Linked DNA regions of Mytilus edulis. The protein of the gene in region 1 binds, or shares a complex with, the protein of each later gene. Links are inferred from orthologs where the notes say so. Each region holds a gene or a part of one and is shown on either strand. Other genes may lie near its edges.

Region 1 (7,673 bases):
CATTCAAAGCATTTCTTATTATTGTTTTGATCTCTCTGTTGGTCCATTCAAAGCATTTCTTATTATTGTTTTGATATCTCTGTTGGTCCATTTAAAGCACGTTCTTATTATTGTTTTGATATCTCTGTTGGTCCATTTAAAGCACGTTCTTATTATTGTTTTGATCTCTCTGTTGGTCCATTCAAAGCACGCTTAACCTGGTTGTATAAACTCTTTACTTTTTCTTATTATTATTTTGATCTCTCTGTTAACTTGGTCCATTCAAAGCACGTTCCACCTGGTTGTCAGAATCGTGGGTGAAATATGTTTTGTTATTTTAAAATAACATGTTGTAATATTTCTTGAAAGTAATTCCATCATTCAGTATTGTATGGTACAATATTTGTTTTTTAAAAGATCATCAATATAATTAAAATATAGATCTCTGATTTCGTTACACTACATAATGTAATATAACGAAATTAGATATATATATTTTAGTTAGATTCAAAGAACACCTCTTTATCAAGGCATTTGTCAACTTCAATCATATTGTCCCTTTTATTTCATCTTTGATTGATATATTTTCAATGTTTGGTGGATTAGTTGTAAATATAAAGTATATATCTAAACTATTGGTTATTTTGCTGTTTGTGATAGACTTTCTTCACTGAAGTGATTCTATGAACTTTTTACTATAATTATTGGGTTTCAAGTTGTCTTTCCTTGAACCTCGCCTGTGTTTCCCATAAAATATATGGCATGTTGAAATCTCCAGTGTCAGAGTGCTAAGTTTAGTAGATTGTCAAAGGGGTATCAAAGAAATGTGTAAAAGCCATCAATGAACTATTTTTTTTTCCAGGTACTAGTATTAAGATGTTTACTGCCTTGATATCAACTTAGTTTGATTCCAGTATATTTACAGTCAGTGACGAGTGTTTCCAGCTATATAGGGTTAAAACTCCACCACCTTCATGTTCATACTTTAAACAATACAATACTTCAAAATATTTGTATCGAAGATTTCAGCACTTGATTTGGTTTATTATCTAAGTGTGTTCGTATGCCTGTATTATATGAGGTTCGTGCATTTCTATTAAGTGTAGTAAATTCTTTCTTTTTGCAGAATGTTCAATCTCCAGCTTTTCGATAGACACACCTATTTTGTTCACATCCATTCTTCCAATAACATCCACATTTAGAAGAAAAAAACCATTGTTCATCCCAAATGGAGGAGTTGCAGACAGTTTGACTGCTTGTCGAAAGATCTGAAATTGTCAATTAACACAGCTGACGGACTCCAAAACTGGGAATCAGTGGCTTCAAACTAATATTTCATATTTTCATCTGATGAAAATAGGGTTGTATTTACTTGTTTTCATCACATTTCCGCATTAAAAAATACTTCATACCTACATTAAACAAATATTTACTTTTTATTTGATTTTTGTCGAGCCTTCGACTTTAGTCGAAAAAGCAAGACTAAGCGATCCTACATTCCGTCGTCGTCAGCGTCGTCGTCGTCGGCGGCGTCCACAAATATTCACTCTGTGGTTAAAGTTTTTGAAATTTTAATAACTTTCTTAAACTATACTGAATTTCTACCAAACTTGGACAGAAGCTTGTTTATGATCATAAGATAGTATTCAGAAGTAAATTTTGTAAAAATAAAATTCCTTTTTTTTCCGTATTCTATTTATAAATGGACTTAGTTTTTCTGCGAGGAAACATTACATTCACTCGGTGGTTAAAGTTTTTAAAATTTTAATAACTTTCATAAACTATCCTTGATTTGTACCAAACTTGGACAGAAGCTTGTTTATGATCATAAGATAGTATCAAGAAGAAAATTTTGTAAAAATAAATTTCCACTTTTCCGTATTTTACTAATAATGGACTTAGTTTTTCTGCGAGGAAACATTACATTCACTCTGTGGTTAAAGTTTTAAAATTTTAATAACTTTCATAAACTATCCTTGATTTGTACCAAACTTGGACAGAAGCTTGTTTATGATCATAAGATAGTATCAAGAAGAAAATTGTGTATCTTATGATCGTTGCGTCACTGTCTATATATATTTGATATAATAGGTTTATACTGTTCAGTAATTGCTATAGAAGCACTGTAATAAAAAAAAAAAAAACGTAGTTTCGAACAGGATAATAATAAGTGCCTGTTTTGTCTTTGTGTGACTTTTAGGAATAATGTTTTAAAAATTCTTCTTATTTTTTCCTGGTTCGATACATGTTATGTTACATTTAATTTTCCCTCAATTATTAGAACTTTTGTGAGTAAGTTTGCTCTTGATCTAAAGACATAAGTATTAAAACAAAGCCTAATTGAGCCTCAAACTTGTTGAGTGAAGACTTTTTTTTTATAGAATTTTTGAATAAAAAAATACTTTTATTTGCAAATTCACTGGATTTAATCAGGGAATTTGTATAACATGTATAAAAGATCTTAAATATTTCAGTGATTTTGTAAAATCCCGACTACGGTCAAAATCATTGATTTGATAAAATCACTTATCAGTTTGACAGTGATTATACAAAATCACTGAAATTTCAGGAATTAAAAAAAATCCCTGAATTTACAAATTGACCGTATCATATATATATATACCTGAAATTTGTCTCATGGTAATTTGTAACAGTTTTAGAGAGATCCATATTCTTAAACACGAGTTATTGTCTGGAAACTAAAAAATGCTTGGTTTTGGCCCTTTTTGGGCCCTTAATTCCCGCATGAAAATTCAGCCAAATCTGTTTAAGAGGATATAAAAACACTTATTTATTCCAATGACCACGAACCTTGTGCTTCCAAAGTTTTTTTTTACTATATATATCTGTCCACCTATTTCAGTCTCCGATATGCCTACTGAAAATTGTTTCAGATGTATATGTTTTGTTAACCTGTTAACCCGGCCTCGCCCGGTTCAGGTCAAATCATTTAACTGTCTTCACTTACAAAACATTACAATATTGTTCATACATATTTCTGTTATTATTTACAGTGAAGATCTAAAGTTATATTTTGATATGATTAACATACATTCCAAAGTTACAAACAACTTAATAGCATGGACTATTGCCGTTTCAAAAGTAGAATTCCCGAAAACTGATTCAACAGTTGTTATATATAACGATATCTACAAAAAATGATCTGATTATTAGGAAATATACAACTCACCTTAATAAAATTGAATTCAGATAAACGAGCTTTCGTACTAGAACAATAAGGTCCGAATGTCGAACCCAACAAATAATATTTGTTTATAGACACATATTATAGTGATTTTCTATTAATAGAAAAGGGAAAATACAGTGTTTACCTGTTTAAACCAGTTTTAACGGAGTGAAGTTAGAATTGACCAGTGAGAATGTGGAAAAACGCCCCTTTAAGCACATTTAGCCACGCCTTGTTACGCCTATCAGTTAAATATGATTTATTTTTAGTAAAGGGAATTTTATTCTGTTCTGGTTTTCTCTAGATGTATCCATTTACTTTAGCAACAGTTCTTTTCTCTGACTTTTACTCCCAAGGCTTGCATTATTAATGCGTTCGATAAATCAACGTTTAACACACAGTCACTTCTCCGTATTCTTTTCAGAGACCGTGTCTGTGATGTAACACAGTATCAAAATCGGCAACCAAAAATAGCAACGGAAATATTACAAGTTTTCTTATAGACTAAAACAATAAATATTTCATGATTTGACATTATGCACGTCCTTCAGTGGACTTCAGTATAGCTCAATTTATTAAAGTATACACGAGACCAAACGTTGCTTTTTGTGTGTGTTTTGTTGTTGTTGTACATTAACTGGTTTTGCGTCATGTTTTTATTTCAATAGATATAGTGTTCACCCCAAAAAGTAAAATCTACGGAAACGTCCACAAATAGTAATCTTTTTAAAATGGCCGGGTAATTAAGATATGTTACAGACATTCATTTCTTTAAAAAATAAAGAATGGTTTTTATAAACAGTTACATGTATGGATTATAGCAAATTTGTTGTGAATATTTAAAGAAATCAAACGTTGTCATTTTGAACCTAGGATTAACATTTAACTTTTTTAAACCAGTTACACGTACTAGCGGATTTATATTATTTATTATTTGGATCCTTTATAAAAAGGTTTTTAGAACATAGTGCAGGGGACTCATAGTCTTTTCAACTTCATTTGATGGTACTTTTGTTGTAAGAGCTAATAGTATTTGTCGTGGTGAAGTCAGAACCCCTGAGTTTTTAAACGGGACGTATTATGGTATATCGTTGTCTGTCCGGCCGTCCGTCGTCAGTATGTCTGAAAATAACTCTGAAAAACACATACTAGTAAACAATTAACACGAAACTTCGGTGAATTGATTATATCTGTAGGACTCAAATCTATGGTGAGTTCCAAATCTATGGCAAATGTGACGTCATGCCATCCAAAATCTATGGCAGATTTTTTACAATCCTAATCTATGCCGGGCAATTGAGGTATGATTGACCTGACAATATAAAATGTAAATGACCCTTACCTTCACCAAGTCCGTGATGTCACTCCATTCCAAGATGTGAATAAAATGACAGGTGATTATAAAACAATTGGTAAAACATTCTTGGGCTTTACACTGCTTGAAAGATTTATATGTTTTCTTTAGAATGAGCCATAAATGAAAATTTTTATAGGCCCAGAAATTATTAAAAAAAATAATTAAAGTAAATTCAATTGACCTAGACTTATTTTTGCATCAATTACATTTTATAATAAACAAGAAATAATAGTAACAGGATAATGTTACGAAGTCTTCCAAACAGAGCTTCCATAATTCGTCATTCTCATGGTCGCCTGACATTGGGCAAAGTCCAGTACAAATTGGTTAGGTCTAGTAAAATGATATGCCTATGTGACGTCTAGGAAATTGACCCTGTATGTCATTCAAATTTTCTTGAAATGACAAACAGCAATAAATATGGTAAAGGGGTGGGTATCTCACCGTTTACAAGTTCTCAAAAAAAGAGGGGGGAGTGATCCCCAGTGGACTCGCTCTTTATTTCATTTGATTTAGTTTATTGTCCCATACAAGACATACAAGAATATATATGGTTTCGGGGTGTGGATCTTAACCGTTTACAAGTTTTCAAAAAGAAGGGGGGTTGACCCCCATGATACCCCCTATATTTCATTTGATTTGTTTTATTGTCACATACCAGAATATATGTGGTGTATGGGCGGGGATCTCGACCGTTTACAAGTTCTCAAACAGAAGGGGGTGGGTGACCCCAGTGACTCCACTATATTTCATTTGACTTGTTATCTTGTCCCATAGATGAATATATATATAGTATATGGTTAAGGGGTAAGTATCGCACCTTTTACAAGTTCTCAAAAAAGAGGGGGGTTTTATAACATCAGAATACTAATAGCTTACGTTTCGTGTAAGTTAAAATTACCGCCGACTTGGACAACTATATATAACTTTATTTCCTCTATCATATAGAGATTTGGTGACACCGTGTACATGCATGAACAATATTCCTGTGCCTTTTGCCATTTGGGAAATGTAAACGACTTGTAATTAGAGATTTTCGGCGATGAAATATTTCATACAATTGTTCTTTGACATCTTAGCCAAAAGCACATAGGATAATAAACTACGAACGGATTTCTATTGAGCACTACTTCTTATGTGCAACTTCAAATTTTTTGGTAGTTCGACGATCATTTAAGGTTTTTCTGGTCATATGTATTGCATTCCAGAATTGAAAGTATGAAAAAAGTGCCAAATTAGTTATTCTAATAACATATTAACCAGCCAGATAATAACAATAGCACTTTTAACACCATTCAGTGGGAAGAACACAAATTTATCTATAGGATGGTAGCATAAGGCAGCTTAACTGCTTAAAAAACGCTTTAGTCTGTTGTTTTTTTTGTGGAATAAAAGCATTGTAAGGCTAAATACAACATTTATAAACAAAAAATCATGAATGTCGGATTAATAATATCTTTCATTCTCTAATACTAACACACCTTGTACATATAGCCTTGAATATTAAACTCAAACTGTTATATGATCTTATATCACGTCTTGTCAGAAAGGAAGTCTGTTTGTTTATATTTTTTTTATCATATTCACTTGAAATAAAGTGGTCAAACTCGAAAAAAAACGATCAAATCACTCGAAAAACCACGATCCTAGCCGGACACTATACCTACCGTGATTATGAGCAACAGGACGGGTGCCCCATGTGAAACAGGGTCTGCTAACCCCCATTTTGATGGGGTTCGTGTTGCTTAGTCTTTATTTTTCCATGTTGTGTTTTGTGTACTATTGTTTGTTTTTGTTTTTGTTTTTTAGCCATGGCGTTGTCAGTTTATTTTCGATTTGTGAATTTGAATGTCCCTCTAGTATCTTTCGCCCCTCTTTTATAAATACAAAACTTTATTTTTTTTCTTAATGATTCTCGTAGGATTTTTCACGTGGGTTTTCATTAAGATTTGTTAATTTTTAGAGTTTTTCTTATTTCTAAAGATAGTTCAGACTGTCCCTGATTTCTAAGACTTTTTGCCCGGTTAATAAATGAAATGAAATTTAAAAAGATTTAATTTTAAGACCAAGTTAACATAATGTTTGTTCCAATTATTTTGCTTAGTAATTTTTTCCAGTATGTAGATGATTGATGGTTGGTTGCTTAACGAAAATTGTACATTGATATTTCCTACCAAATCAAATCAAATCAAATCAAATCGTATTATTGGTGTAAAATCTAAATATTGGATTGTTACCAAGACAAACATGACAATCATTACAAACATACAATATTTAGATTTAAACAACATTCATATCATATAAGACTCCATATTTAGATGTTTTTGGAGGAGGTGATGTAATTGTTATAAAATATATCATAACAAATAGGCCTACTATAAGAAAAATATAAAATAGTCATAACTTTGTTACATCGACTAGTTTTTCGTATCAGCTAGGCTATTTCTTTGCAACAAATGAATGCTCAATATTCAACCAATTTAAAACATAAATCCCTATACAATAATTTCAGTTACGTCATACTCATTAAATGTAAACACAAATGCAATTTTTTCCTTATCAGACATTTGGGTGAAATCTGGAACTATACTCTCTACTTCCTGAAAAAGTTTTTGCCTACATCCTTCTAAAATTTGACGTTTTAAAGCAAAATGATATGATATTCATCTTCTACCTCCTATTTACAGAGAGGACATAATCTTTTTTCCAAAGGTAATTTACGGTGTCTACCCTGTTCAATATGTAGATGACTTATTTTTATAAAATTTGATATCATGTATCGATCTAAATCTATTAATACAAACAGTTCTAATTTGAATTCTTTTTTTAATTTTCTGCGTGTTCTTAGTTTGTTTCCATTAGGGTTATTTTGGTCGTTAAAAAACTGTCTTTCCAGAAATCTGTATACTTTTCAGCTATTTTTTACCTACAGCATTAATAAATTTCCTACCATGCAGATTTGTCGTATTTCCTGTAGTAATTAAACATTTTGCCGTCTGTGATTTTTTTTCGTGAATTTAGTATTTTTTCTTGCCTTTGCTTATATATCTGAAACTGAAAAAGCATGGTATAATGTAGTCTCGGGAAACCACTGATAGCCTAAGAGGGGACCCGCTCCGGTCATGCTTCAGTGATTTCCTAAATAATCAA
Region 2 (7,627 bases), on another chromosome or scaffold:
GTATACAGATCTTAAGATTAATATAACTAAGAAGTGTGTAAAGTTTTAATCAATTATCATAAATTGTTTTTGAGATACGGCGGGACATGGGAAAAAACACACCCCTGTTTTATTTAGAAAGTCCGGTAACTCAAAAAGTTTTAATCTAATTTTCATCAAAAAGTATAGTATACAGATCATTTGACCATCATAAGAAACAACAATATCAAGTTTCATGAAATTGGGATAAGTCGTTCTCAAGTTACGGTGCAACATGTTTACGCCGGACAGACGGACGGACGCCGGACATTTGTATACCATAATATGTCCCGTCAAAATTTTGACAGGCGTATAAAAATTGACTAATTATTGATAACTTTAAATAATTTTTCTTCACATGCACACATGCAAAAACTAAAATGAAATTGAAAAGAAAAGAGTAATGAAAAACTTTAGCTAATGTGCAAAATAGGAAAAATACTTTTCTCATCTTGTCTAAATTTATTTATCAAAATCTATTTCACATTAACTTTTTTCATTTTCAACATGTTACATGTAAAAAAGGGACATATTCTGTTAACTATTGCTCAGAAATTGTTACAAAAATAGATTTACATCTAAAATCAATAACTTACTGCTGTTTTCAACCCATCTCTTTCTTGTAAGGCATCATCTAACTAAAAATAAAGATACTTTGTCATTATCTCTTATATTGAATATTCTAAGATGGTTACATATAAACTGTTTAACATTAGGCATGTTTGTGTAAAGCCAAAATTCTAAATAAATCTTTTCCAGCAACAAATCTTAATGTCATAAATGTGTGGTCACTAGAAGCAGTTGTGAGATAATCTATTGATCACTCTCTGATCCCTATTTTGAACCTTTTGTGTTTTCATTAGTTTTTCAATGCTTTGAAGCCAGGAATGAAGAACTATGAGGAAAAAAACCAACTGTATGGAAGCAAATTTAACTGACACTAGCATGACTAGCTATACAACTTATTAACATTTTTTTAAATATATGTAGAACATTTAAACATTTGGCAATTCATATGGGGACGAAGTCCCCTATTACAGTAGAAAAATCAATAAAAAATAAATCGGGAAAACCCTGAAATTTTCATTGTACTACTAAACTCAAAATCGTTCAAATTCTTTTTGTCCCTTTTTTTAATTCCCACATTTGCCCAGAATGCAGAAATCAACTTCCTTCTTCAGGTCTCGTTGTGTAGTCTAGTAAAATATTGGAACTCAAGGTACACAATACCAATATTTCATTTTTAATAATTCTTTGTCTTTGATATAAATGAACGTTACCTGATGCATTGCGTTTCTTTGTTTACATTGAACATGACGTCATAACTTAAATAACTCACAAGTAAAATCACTTACAACAGAACCAAAATCGGAAACGTTACAGTATTTACGTTTTTTTTTTTTTTTAACAAATATCTAAGTCACAAAAAAAATAATTCATACAGACTTCTTCCCCATTCACAGGTTATGCCTGCCTCATATTAACAGTCAGCTTACAGTGTCAGTTGTCAGTGATCATGGTGATGGTCAAGTAGTTTTTGTTCCATTTTTTAGAAAAAATTGTTGTCTTTTTGTTTAAGGTTCATCATAACAATTGGACAAATATGGCCGTATTTTCACCTCAAAAACTACTCTGTGTACAGACTTACCTGTGCTGTTTGGAAAGTTTTAATGCCTAGCATCCACTAGATATATAAAAGTTAAATGCATTTTGTGTTAAAGAAAGATAAAATCTTTTTTGGTTTTTGCTGGGCATTTTTTTCCTTTCTGCAGAAGGTGTAAAAATAAACAAACACCTGCATTACTTTGATACTGTCCACTCACTGACTCAGACGAACTCTTTATCTCAACTGCAGTTGTGAAGATACCTCTTGTCCATGCCAATTAAGAATCCGGGTCCGTCCGCCCTGATTCTGGTTCGCCCTAGTTTCTGTTCGCCCTAATACCTGTTCGCCTCGAGTCCGTTCGCCCTGATTTTATTTTTTAGTATAGTGTTGCGTTGTGTGTATATAATTGAATTTGGTGAAGTCAGTCTACAATTTGGTCGAATATTTACAATATTTTTAAATGTGAAACAACTGAAGACTTGTTGTCTTCAAGCTGCTACGAGGATAAGTTTCTGTGAATTCAAAGACTACAAAATATTTGACATAAAACAACTAAAGACTAAGTCTAAATTTAACTTTATTGATACATTTTAACAATATAAAAATATTCAGTAACAGTTATACAAGATCAATTCCGAACTGTACTTCGCACACCTTTATTTCCTAAACGAATATTTAAAAGCACTAATATGAATTACTATAAGTGAAACAAATACCAAAAACACAGTCACACTGCTGTACATTGATCACTTGTCATCAGTGTTTTTACCCATCCAAGCTGACTATTTTATTTGAGAAAAACGTTATTTTCATTATTAATCCATCAAAGACAATTCATATAACAATCAGTGATATCAAAGATTTCAAATGATACCTTATAATCAGCAATCAAAATTCAATCAACAGTAATTAAAAGTAATTATAAAATAAAGTGTAACAATGCAGCCAAGAACTTTATTTAATTAATATAAATTTGGCAAATATTCTGTATTTAACTTTTAATAGATATACATGAATTTCAATATATAAATATATATATATATTTCGTTCGTTAATGTAATATATACATATCATAAATAAAATGAATATAGGGCGAACGAACCCAGGGCGAACGGACTATCAGGGCTAACAGACTCAGTGCGAACGAACCTAGGGCGAACATGTAATCAGGACGAACAATCCCGATACCGCCAATTAAGGACAATCAAAACAATACAAACCGTTTTTTTACCTGAGGGAGCATCTCATAGTTGTACCACAACTTAGTCAATTTTCAGAACTTTTGCACGAAGGAAAAATCCAAAAGAGATTTTATCTTTCTGAAACACAAAATGCATTTAACTTTATTATATCTAGTTGATGCCAGGCATTAAAACTTTTCCAACTGCACAGGTAAGTCTGTACTCAGAGTAATTTTTGGCATGTAAATACAGCCATATTTGTCCGTTTGTTATGATGAACCTTAAATTGTTTAGCCATGTTTTTTATGTCTTGGACAACTTTGTCAGCACTTTGTCTTTCTTATATATTATATATCATGTATAATTTTTTACTCTTTCTTTTTTGTAAAAAAATTGTTTTCCAGTTTAAATATAAACAAGTATATTTTAAGGAGCAAAGTGATTTTTTTCATTTCCTATAAAACATAAACTTACTGTTTGAAAATACTGGTTCATTGACCAAGTTGCCATTTTCAATGGCCAATAAATGTTTACAGGGCTTAAAAATCAATGCAACCCATGTGAAAATTGAAACCGGAAGTTTTGATTTTACAAGGATAGTACTGAACAGATAGTATCCTCATACAGCTTCCCACGTCTTTGCGACCAATTTTGATAGTTGTTTTTGTGATACGGTGTTTTCTTTATGTATTCTTTATAAATAATTTAAAACTAGAAAAAGAAAATGAATCACAAATAACACAAATTTCAATTAATTGTATAGTCATAAATTAGACTTCCTGTCTCGGGAAAGGACTTCTTGATTGGTGCAATACCACTGTACTCTACGATTTTAGCAGACAGCACAGATCATGGAAGAAGATGCTGATCTTTCTAACATAATTTTGCATATATTTGAGAAGCAGAAACAAAATGGAAGTGATGTGCAATACAGTGACAAATTTAAGTGTGTAAATATTGGGAAAACGTATCTTGTTAATGTGATTGTTAATTTTCCTTCGTGTTTGAATGGGAACATTAATAAATGGAAAAAAAGAATTGAAAATCTTTATGGACACGTCAATTTCCACGTTGCAAAAAATATACCTAATATCGACGAAAATGAACTGTCTTACAATAAAAGTTACTTTTTGTGCAATGTGTTTAAAAGCACAGCTGACACAAAAACACATTTAAAACTACATGTAAGTTGATTTTCTAAAGTTGTAAGACCTACATGTATCAAAGAATCTTCAAATAAAATGGGCTGTCATATAAGTTTAATATCCAAAAACTTATTTGGACTAATTGGGAACAATTTCAAGTGTCTTATTGATTAGTATATATGTTCCAGACCGTATGAGTATTTGGACCGTACGCGTACGGTCTGGACTGTATGCGTACTTTTTCAAAATACGCATACGGTCGGACCGTACGGGTACGGTCTGACAGATATTAAGAAGTTGGTCAAGCTTATTAGATACAAATGTATATAACAGATCAACATGACTTATATCTCCAATTAATATAAAAAGTTCAACAGCATTTGACATAAAAACTTAATATTTTAACTATTTAAAAAGATCACGCTTATTTAATCTGTTAATCTCCTGTATTTTGCAGGCCAGTTATTCATTAATTGCAGCTCAGTATGCTCATTGAAATTGAAGATATCGGAAGTAAACATAATGTGGGAGGACAATTGTTTTAGAATATTTATGAACTTTACAAAAGAAATGCATACGCAAAGGAACATGCATTAACAAAACATGTAAATGTAAAAAATACGAAGTTCTTATTAGAAGCAAGTGTCACCTTCGGCCAGAGTAACAAAATATAATTCACGGATATACAATTAAGCAAATATTTAATTTCAATTGTTCGCTTATTCACTTTATCATCGGCCAGCTATTTTGTAATAATAACAATTTGTATAACTAAAAATAAAGATTTTGATAAATGTTTGTTTAAATTTAACCCACATGATCCCAAAACGTATGATCAGCTGGACCGTACGCGTATACTCATACGGTCCGACCGTACGCGTATGGTCGGACCGTACGAGTATACATATACGGTCCGGACCGTACGCGTACGGTCCAAATACTCATATGGTCTGGAACATATACAAAATGACAAACAACTTTAAGATGCAAAAATTTAGGTATCAGTGATTGTTTTTCAGAAAATAGTGATTTTCAGAGACAGAGGTTACAATCTCACAAATTATTCAAGTTCTGGATAAGTCTTTTGCAACTTTTTATTCATAGAGAAATACAAATTAATTTTTTCAATGAAATCTAATATTTCATGTATTTGGAATTATGCATCTTTTTAAAGAACAAATCTTTCCAGGTTTCACATTGTGTTTATTTATGCAAACAAGACCGGAAACGGAAGTAGATCTGAAAAAAAAAGTTAACGATTTTGAGTTCATTAGTAGTATAAAAAATTCGGGAAATATTCCCGAATTTTAGATTTTTTATAAATTTTTATTGATTTTTCTACCGTAATTGGGGACTTCGTCTCCATATAATGGTTATATTTATTAACATATTTTATATTCATTTGGTAAATACAATTAATTATATAAAAAATAGTCTTTGTCTGGATCCTTAATATAGTTTGTATCAAAAACAAGAAGTTTTGTTAAAAGTATTATTAACCAACTAAGTGCATTATTGCCAAAAGTGACTGTTTATTAAAAATTACATATTTTCTGTAATGGCCCTGTTTTTTTCTGTAATGGCCCTGTTTTTCTGTAATGGCCCTGTTTTTTCTGTAATGGCCCTGTTTTTCTGTAATGGCCCTGTTTTTTCTGTAATGGCCCTGTTTTTCTGTAATGGCCCTGTTTTGTCTGTAATGGCCCTGTTTTTCTGTAATGGCCCTGTATTAATGCCCAGTTTGTCTGTATTAAGCCCTGTTAGGGTTTTTAATAAAGTTAATAAAACTAAGTTGTAAAGAGTATAATACCTTTTTGTATTTTATTCAATTTAGTAACCAGCAACCAACATTAAAAAACCATATAAAGGGATCACTGTTCATCCTGTTTTTTAACACATATCTCTTTCAACTTAATATCTTGGATATTTGGTACATTTAAAGCTTTATAATGGTGAAGTACAAATTATTTTGTTCAAACTAAATTGTCATTAAAAGAGTAAGACAGTACATCAAGTTAGCACAAACACATACACTTTTGATCAGTTGGTTAATAAATGTATTAAGAAATGAGTGTTTTTATAATGGCCCTGTTATATGTCCTCGGTCAGTAATAATTGCCTCGGATGTCTGTAATAGCCCTCGGCGTTGCCTCGGGCCATTACAGACTTCCTCAACCATTATTACAGACCTTGGACATATAACAGGGCTATTATAAAAACACCCATTCATTAATACTATAATAATCTATGGCTTAAAGAAACACATTAGAGAAAACTCAAGATTGATCAGAAAGAAACATAAAAAAAACTTTGTTATTTTGGTAAAAGTGTTAGCTCCTGCTGCACTAGTTGCCTTTTCCATGTTGCTCAGATAAATTCAGCTACTTTAGTCAATAATATGAGGCAGGCATTACCTGTAAATGGGGACGAAGTCTGTATGAATTATTTTTTTGTAACTTAAATATTTGTTTTAAAAAAAAGAAACGGAAATACCGTAACGTTTCCGATTTTGGTTCTGTTGTTAGGGATTTAGTTGTGACGTTATTTAAATTATGACGTCATATGCAATGTAAACAAAGAAACGCTATCATCAGGTAACGTTTTTTCATATCAAGGAATTATTAAAAATGAAATTGGTATTGCGCGTTCCTTCCTATTTTATACTAGACTAATAAATATATATTTTACTCAAAGTTTCATACAAACGAGACTGGAAAAAGGAAGTACATTGTACATTTCTGCGCAGGTCCGGGATTTCAAAACATGACAAAAAAAATTTGAACGATTTTGAGTTCATTAGTACAATGAAAAATTCGGGAAATTTTCCCGTATTTTTTTTTATTGAATTTTCTACTGTTATTGGGGACTCTGTCCCCATATAAACATTCATGGACTGGCTCCAACCATCAATATAGGTGTTTTCTATGGAAATCATTAGGGAATGTTATAAAATGATTGATTGTCATTTGATAAGTGTCCAGTGGTATTGTTAAAAAATGTATTAAAGAAGTAAATACTAGAATTCCTCATGAATTCCGAACAAATTACCAAAGTTTATATAGATCTATTATCAGTGATTTTATGTTGTGTAGTTGCTTTCTTATTCATGTTATTGAAGCTTTAAAATACCATACATGCGTTGTGAATTTTCCTTCATTTTTGGGAGAAAAAATATATATTAAAAGAAAATGTGGAAAACATACAATTAATGTACATAATGTGATATTTTATACAAAATATCAAGCACATGTTCAAATGTGTATATGTCATGTATGTGTCTTGTGAAGAATGAAGATAGATATATAAATTACACATTTCAACCAAAACCACTATTGCTGCATTGTAATTTTGAGCTATTGACCTTGATCAATGTTAAATGCAGTTAAAAACACATGCTAATGTGAGTTATTTTGAACTCACTTTACTTTATTGTTTTCTAATTTCAGGAGAAGAAGCCTTATTTTGTTGATGACAAAACATTTATTGTTCCATTGGAAGCAACAGTAAATAATATTTCATCGTGCGATACAAAAATTTATTTGACAGTGTCCATTGTCAAGCCAATACCTTGCCCAAAGAGAATGTTAGGAGAAAGTGATTTCTTGTTGAAGGTTGATGACATTAAACCTTTACCAGAGAAAGAAAAGATTTATACTCAAAAGTCAGGTATTTGATTTTTA

What was found.
Region 2: nuclear pore complex protein Nup98-Nup96-like (region 1) and PCI domain-containing protein 2-like share a complex: the UniProt entries of both Drosophila melanogaster proteins name them as parts of the nuclear pore complex. The link is inferred for Mytilus edulis from reciprocal best matches to the Drosophila melanogaster genes Nup98-96 and PCID2.

What each region holds. Positions count from the first base shown.
Region 1 is NC_092351.1:7,550,976-7,558,648, reverse strand, and holds the start of nuclear pore complex protein Nup98-Nup96-like, read right to left. Parts: upstream 3,259-7,673; 5' UTR 3,170-3,258; intron 1-3,169. UniProt on the Drosophila melanogaster protein: Part of the nuclear pore complex (NPC). Required for MAD import as part of the Nup107-160 complex and required for nuclear export of Moe probably via its association with Rae1. Plays a role in nuclear mRNA export.
Region 2 is NC_092346.1:45,879,710-45,887,336, forward strand, and holds the start of PCI domain-containing protein 2-like, read right to left. Parts: upstream 3,413-7,627; 5' UTR 3,316-3,412; coding exon 3,280-3,315; intron 657-3,279; coding exon 615-656; intron 1-614. Other genes in the region: trafficking protein particle complex subunit 14-like, read left to right, coding at 3,657-3,989, 7,394-7,613. UniProt on the Drosophila melanogaster protein: Required for the export of nuclear mRNAs and involved in mRNA trafficking in the cytoplasm.